Ovis aries: one gene and its partner. Each later gene encodes a partner of the first gene's protein in a complex. Links are inferred from orthologs where the notes say so. Each region holds a gene or a part of one and is shown on either strand. Other genes may lie near its edges.

What was found.
Region 2: the proteins of GHRHR (region 1) and GHRH are in contact, whole or in part, in a cryo-EM structure (PDB 7CZ5), measured with the Homo sapiens proteins. The link is inferred for Ovis aries from reciprocal best matches to the Homo sapiens genes GHRHR and GHRH. Residues at the interface, in NP_000814.2 of Homo sapiens: Leu119, Ala120, Glu122, Glu123, Phe126, Ser127, Val129, Lys130, Tyr133, Val179, Lys182, Leu186, Phe187, Asp190, Thr192, Asp193, His194, Cys195, Phe197, His210, Thr213, Phe217, Ala271, Cys272, Asp274, Leu275, Asp276, Trp282, Ile285, Ile289; in NP_066567.1 of Homo sapiens: Tyr32, Ala33, Asp34, Ala35, Ile36, Phe37, Thr38, Asn39, Ser40, Tyr41, Arg42, Val44, Leu45, Gly46, Gln47, Leu48, Ser49, Ala50, Leu53.

The regions. Positions count from the first base shown.
Region 1 is NC_056057.1:66,944,739-66,948,846, reverse strand, and holds the start of GHRHR (growth hormone-releasing hormone receptor precursor), read left to right. Parts: upstream 1-1,308; 5' UTR 1,309-1,392; coding exon 1,393-1,449; exon of another isoform or gene 1,450-2,361; intron 2,362-4,108.
Region 2 is NC_056066.1:66,191,788-66,195,089, reverse strand, and holds part of GHRH (somatoliberin), read left to right. Parts: intron 1-1,310; 5' UTR 1,311-1,331; coding exon 1,332-1,411; intron 1,412-1,675; coding exon 1,676-1,780; intron 1,781-3,302. UniProt on the Homo sapiens protein: GRF is released by the hypothalamus and acts on the adenohypophyse to stimulate the secretion of growth hormone.

The DNA of each region.
Region 1 (4,108 bases):
GCTGGAAATGTGTGTGTCAGAGTCCCGCCTGACAAGCTCTGGGATTGCAGACCTGCACACAGAAGGCAATGGCACCCCACTCCAGTACTCTTGTCTGGAAAATCCCATGGACGGAGGAGCCTGGTGGGCTGCAGTCCATGGGGTCGCTACGAGTCGGACACGACTGAGCGACTTCACTTTCACTTTTCACTGTCAGGCATTGGAGAAGGAAATGGCCACCCACTCCAGTGTTCTTGCCTGGAGAATCCCAGGGATGGCAGAGCCTGATGGGCTGCCATCTATGGGGTCGCACAGAGTTGGACACGACTGAAGCGACTTAGCAGGAGCAGCAGCAGCACACAGATGGCAGGGCCTGCCAGGTACTGGCACCTTCGGGACGCTTGAAGATCTAATGTGATTTCCAGACGCCCCAGTGCTGTGCAAGGTTCTGGGCAATTTAGAACACTGTTTCTAGCCTGGCCAACTGAGATCCCTCATTTTAAAGTCTGAAACTATAATAAAAATGACAGGGTAATGAATACTCAAATTAATCTGAGCTGCTGTGTAGGTTCTCTTGTTTCTGCCCCTGATAACACTGGTTTTCCCCCACTCAGGATGGCTTAGCTACGTGAATCTTTTTGCACGCTTCCTGTTTTTCCCTGTTTCCATATGGACTTCTGAAGAGACTTTGACAAGCCCCCATGTAAAGTCCAGAGCCTGGGTCTCTTCAGACTTCACCTCGCCATCCAGACTGGTATCCTTGCTGGGAACAGAGACAAGGTTTTGCTGAAACTACTATCTTTAGGACCAGCCCATGGGGGTGCATGGGGACTTCATGATTGCACTTCCTTTTCTAAGATTCCTATTTTCCAGACTCTACTGACACCCTACCCACTTCTGCTGGGTCCCCAGGGCTCCGAACCCATCCTTCAGGCCTGTGGATGAGGCTGAGATCACAACCAAACTGGGCTCCCTGAGTGTGGACTCAGGCCTTCTTCTTTGCGGAGTCTCCTTCATTTGGGGGGAATCTTTCCACGGTGGAGCCTCAGAGGGCTGGGCTCAGAGAAGAAAATTATAAAGAATATTGACCTACTGGGGCAAGAGGTGTCCTGTGGCTGCCATTTGTCTGTGACCTTGGTAATGTTAGGACAGACATGGGCAGACTTACAAAGTCAACCCCTCCCCCCGGGAATGCAGAGTTCTACCCTGAACCTGTGGCGGAGCTGGGCACGGTGTTCTGTAATCCTGGTGAATATTCAGTGGGTTCTGTTCCCTTCACTGGCTCCTGTCTACGCAGACAGCCAGCTGGGAAGGAGAAGCAGAGGCCGTGCTGGCAGCAGTGACAACAGGGGACGGTGGAAGGAGCGCAGGGCCACCGAGGCTGACCCAGGCAGCCGTCGCCGAGCTCCCACCATGGGCAGCAGGGTGTGGGGCGCCTGCGTCCTCTGCTTGCTGGGCCCCTTGCCAATCGTGAGTAGCCAGCTCAGACCCTCCTGGCCCCGCACTGAGCTTGAGATCTGGGAACCGCTGGGCCATCCTGGGGCCCACTGCCCTTCCCCAGCGCAGGAGTCTCTCTACTAAGCAGTCTGGTGGCCTGGCTTGGAGAACTCCTGACACCTGCGGTCCCCACGTCTCCTCCCCCTCCCTTCCCAGGCAGCCTGCTCATCCCTGGGGACCTCTGACAGCAAAACGTCCTTCCTGGAGTTGAACTGAGTTCAACTGCCCATTGCATCCCCCAGGGCCTGTCTGCACCCTCGGGGCCGCAAGACTCTGTCCTAAAACAGTACCTCTGCCTCCCTTTCACACCCTGAGTTTTCTCCACACCTCCTTCTCTGACAAGCTTGCAGAGCCCTCCCAGTCCTCACGATCCCTGGAGCCACTTGATTGAATTGCTTCCTTTGAAGAGGGTGTGGCCAGGGATTGAGTGTGTCTGGGTAGTAAGTGAGAAGTTGCTCCCCCTTCCAACATCTGGGAGCCTTTCCCTCGCAGGGCACACCCTGGGCCCTGAGTAGCTTTCCACAATCAGGTACAGTCCCGAGGCCTAGAAGGCTAGGGAGCAGGCTGCCAGGAGGGGCCCTCTCTGAATGTTTTGTGTACTTTCCTAGAGTTTAATGCAAGTGACAGTGACTTGGGGACCAGGATGGGAGACACAGTCCCAGATTGGAAGCTGTGGCTCCCAGAGTCTCCTGTGAGCTCACAGGACTGAGGTTGCCCTCTTCCTCCATTGGCTTGTATGTGAGTGTGTGTGTGTTTGACAATGTGTGTGCATGTGTGTGAGTGTATGTATGTGTGAGTGTGTATGTGTGGCCGGGGCTATACCTGCTCTCCGTGCACGGCCTTTGAGCTTGGATACCGGTGCTGTGAATTCGCCACGTGACCTAGGTAAGTCCCTTCCTGAGCCTCACTTGTCTCTTTTGTAAAGGAAGAAAATAACGTCTGCCCCCCAGGGCTATTGTGCCTGGAGAAGGGTCTGACTTGCCAGAGGCTGGGCCTGCGGCGCATCATGGGTGACTTCTATTTCCCTCCCCGCGCTGCACAGAGTGGGGCTTCCTCCCTCTCATCTGTGTGCACCCCACAGGAAATGCTTTACTCTAGAAGGGGGACGGAGATCCTGTGGGGGTCACTCAGTCACTGGTGCCAGGGTCAGGGTTAGCACTAAACCCCAGTCTCCCGGTGTGGCCTCTGTCCTGCACAGAGCCCAGGTCAGCTGTAGCCATGGTCAGCCAGGCCAAGGTATGCAGGATGACAGTCTCCCCTCAGGAGGAGTGGGGTCCTGGACGTGGGCCAGATGATCCCTGGTCCCACAGTGAGCTGGGGATCCAACCGGAGTATTGAGATAAGTCTTGGAATGATCCACGTCTTCTCACCCCTAGCAGTTTCCACCTGTGACCACACATCTGGGTCATGAGTTGAGCTTCCCTGAATTTTTCTTCCCTTGGGAAGTGTGGTGGCTGTCTGTTTCTCCTTTTGACGGGAGGCTTCCCACCAGGGGCCTTGGTGGTCCCATAGTCAGGCCCTGAGAAGGCGTCTCAGGGAAGGATGGGATTGTAGATGTGGAGGGGGAGGGGGGCGGATGGAGCCCATGGTCTCATATCAGGCCCCGCCCTCCCCATCTACCCCCTTGTGGACAATCAGACTGCTGTGTGGACATGTTGGGGAGGTAAGACTGGGGCTCTCCTCTGAGGTGGCCCTAGGCTCACTGAGTCCTGGGAAGAAGCCAAGAGGTGTTCCCAGATTGGAGATCCAGAGCCCGAGCTGCAGGTGGAATCTGCATCGTGAGGTCCCAGGGCCCAGGCAGGAGATGGCAGAGCTGAGCCCAAGCTGGCTTTGGGGGAGTGGGGTCAGCCAGCCAGGACTGGGGTGTCCTCCCCTGCAGGGGTGGGTCTGCTGGGGGTGACCCTCCTTACTGGTCAGGGTCTCCAGGTCCTCTCCTAGCCCACTGGCCTTTGGGTCCCTTCCACGTGGTCACCTACTGTCGACTACTCCCATTCTAGTGTTTGAAGTCTCTGACCCCAGCCACTGTCTCATACCCACTATGCTTTTGCTGCGCCTGGGTTCCTGCCAAAGGACGCTAGGAGTTAATGAACCACCTGCTGACATGGACTCTGTGCCAGACACTGGGGGCTTGTGTGTGTGCATGTGGATGTGAGGATGGCCACAGGCAGGGCTCTCCCCTCACGCAGCTCAGGTACATCTGCCCACTCTCTTGTCTGGGCACGTTCTAAAAATATGTTCCTTTCTCTTCATATGTTCGGCTCAAATGCCACCTCCTCAGTCCTTGTGAGAGGGGCCATGCCCTCATAGTGCTTGCCCAGCCCTTGCTCAGTTTGTATTAGATGTATTAGGACCAAGTGTTAACTCCCTTCCTCACCACACTCTTCCCTGGTAAATCCTTGGGCACAGAAATCTACACTGATTGAATTTGATGCGCATGTTGGATTCAAACGTGGGCTGTGGATCCATGTTCACAGTGTAAGGAGCGTGTCTTGTAAAGCTGAGTTCCTTCACATGTGTCTGTGTGGGGCTGTGCCCTGTTGGATGGTCAGCTTTTCTCCAGTCTGGGGAAGTGGGAGGGAGAGGTGTTAAGAATTCCTGCCTTTGACTCAAGCTCCCTGGGGAACTTGTTAAA
Region 2 (3,302 bases), on another chromosome or scaffold:
GAGGAGAAGTGAGCCCAGGGATGGAAGTGGATTCCTCCCGGGCTGGCCCTGCCTGCTGGAAATCCCTTCTGAGCAAGACCTGCCAGAAATGGAGCCACTCAGGGAGATTGTGGGCCGTGAGGTGTCTCTTGCCCTTTCCGGGGCTGTCCGAGCATCTGGAGGGGTCCGTATGCCCCTAGAGGGGACATCCTGCTGAGAGGGATGCCCCTGGGAGATGGGAAGTCCTGACCCTGAGGTGACTGAGTCTTCCTGAGCCCAGCGGTTTCCACCCCGCGGTCTGGGTTGATAGCAGAGCACGGCCCTAGCAGAGGCGGCTCTGTCCCCTGTAGACTCTTCTTCCTAATTGCCGAGCATGGTGTCAGCAGGCCCCCATTAAGGATAATTACGTGATCTATGAGATGGTTCTGCCGCCGGGCTCCCCAGGTCCCTGGTCTCTTCCAGGGCTAAAACTCTTGGGCAAAATCTAAATTTCTGGAGCAAGAGGCACAGCCGTTATCCCTTCCCTCCAAGTCCACACAAAACAAGACAGCCTGCCCTCTGAGCAGGTCCTCAGAGCAGAGGTGCGTGAAGAACGCCCCCGTGCCAACCACTCACGTCAGGCGCCTCATCTCAGTTCATGTTCACATGACCCTAGGCAGTAGGTCCAGTTATCAAGTCCATTTTATGGACAGAGAAACTGAGGTCTGGAAAGGAGAAGCCCCTAGTCCTGGGATGCACAGCTAGTGATGACCAAGCCTGGATGTGAACTCGGATTTTTCTGACTCAGACCCTGAGCTGTCAGCCCCACTTAATGCTGTCAGTGCCACACTGGGGCAGGGGGAGACTCAGGCAAATATGAGAAGCTGTTTGCTCCTCCCCAACTCCAGTCTTCTTGCCTGAAGAATCCCCACGGACAGAGGAGCCTGGTGGGCTACAGTCCATAGGGTCACAAAGTGTCGGACACGACTGAAGCGATTTAGCACACATATTATTCCTTGCTGAGGCCTGAGTCCCACATAGAATGCCCTATAGGAAGAGGTAGTTTCACCATTGTCTTTCATTGTGTGTTCAACCCTGTGAGGTCAGCAGCATAGCCTTGTCATGCCCATTTTACAGATGGAGAAAATGAGGCCAGAGTTTGTGACTGGCAGAGGCAGAACTTGAACCCAGGTGTGTCAGACTTCGAGTCTGCTCCATCTTCCCTACCCCACAGCTTCCAAAAGACAAGGACCATAGCTCTCACAGAGCCAGGCTGAGGGCCAGAGCTAGCAGAGGGCATCCCAGTGTCTGTGGCTATGCCTGACCTTTTCTTCCTGTCTGTCATTTCCCAGGTACCAGCACAGGGGTGAAGGATGCTGCTCTGGGTGTTCTTCCTCGTGACCCTCACCCTCAGCAGCGGCTCCCAAGGTTCCCTGCCCTCCCAGCCTCTCAGGTAAGCAGTTCTGACAAGAGAAGCAAGAGAGGCACTTTGAGGATGCAGAATCGAGCTGGTCCCCAGCTGGCTCCTCAGGCAGCCTCCCTTGCTCATTTCTGGGAGGGAGGGAGACTGAGCCCCAGAGAGGTCACCACCCAGCCCTGGTTCCAGCCCTCTCTGGGGATGAGCAGGGCAAGAGGCAACAGAAGAACCTCACAGAGACCAAGTGAGCACAGTCCCCTGGGCCTCCCACCCCACCCTTTGACCTCTGACTCCTCCTAGGATCCCACGGTACGCAGATGCCATCTTCACTAACAGCTACCGGAAGATTCTGGGCCAGCTGTCTGCCCGCAAGCTACTCCAGGATATCATGAACAGGCAGCAGGGGTGAGCCAGCGTTCTCGTGACTTCTCCCTGCACCCTCGGTTCATCACGATTTGGAGGAACCAAGTCTGGTCTCTTCGCTTGCACAGCAGCTGTCACTTCTGGACTTGCCAGGGCAGAAGGGCTCCAGTGTTGAATCTCGTCTTAACCCTTAACTAATAAATGATCATTGAGCATAGATGCTTGTCCCTGAGTTGGGCTCCAGTAATAACACTGAGAGTAGTCACCACTTGACTGACTCTACCAGAAAAAAAGACTTTGCACTGGTTCATCAATATACTCCTGGCACAGTGCAGAGCAAGCCCTTGGCAGTGTCAGCCATTATGCTCAGGTTCTTATGTGCTCTTTCCAACAACTTTACAAAGGATGTGTCCTCTTACCCTCATCACACAGAAGCTACATTAATAGCTTCTAAAGGACACACACGACTGAGTGGCAGAATTAGCATCCAATCAGCCTGACTCCACTGCCTGAACATGTTTTAATTTTCATTTTGAAAAAATTCCAAATTTACAGAGAAGTTGCAGAAATAGCACAAAGGGCTTTAACATGCCCTGCCCTAAGAGTCAACAATTCCTAATATTTTTTACTATATTTGCTTACTCCATATCTGGGGCTTCCCTGATGACTCAGTGGTAAAGAATCTGCCTGCAGTGCAGAAGACGTGGGTCAGGAAGAGTCCCTGGAGGAGGAAATGGCAACCCACTCCATTATTCTTGCCTGGAAAATCCCATGGACAGAGGAGCCTGGCAGGCTACAGTCCATGCGGTTGCAGAGTCAGACATGACTGAGCATGTACACACAAACACACAAACACACACACACTCTCTCTCTCTCTCTCTCCATATATATATATATATATATATATATATATATATATATATATATGCCTAGATACAGGTCTAGACATACGTACACAAGCTCAGGTATGATTATGAGTATTATTGTTTTGCTGAACCATTTGAGAGTGAATTATAATCATCATGACCCTTTATCCTTAAGTACTTTTGTGTGTCTCCTAATAGCTAATCAAAGGATACTCTCTGATATAATCACAGTATAATTATCACTTAGAGTCCATATTTAAATTTCACTAGTTGTCCCAAAATGTCCTTTATATAAATTTTAAAATATTTTTGGCTGCATGAGGTCTTAAGTGTAGCACACAGGCTCGTTCATTGTGCCACGTGGACCCTCTGGTTGCAGCACACGGGCTTAGGAACTGTGGTGCTCGGGCTCAGCTTCTCTGCGGCATGTAGGATCTTAGTTCCCCCATCAGGGATTGAGCTCATGTCGCCCATGGTGCAAGGCGGATTCTTAACCACTGGGCCACCAGGGAAGTCCCTGTAACAATTACTGATCTTCCTCATCCAGGACTCAATCCAGCCACAGGTGGCGTTTAGTTTCTTTTGGTCTGGATCAGTTCCTCAGTCTTTATGACACAGACATTTTTTATTAGTAAAGGGCAGTTCTTCATAGAATGTCCCTCATATTGGGCTTGCCGGGGGCTTCCTCATGAATGGAT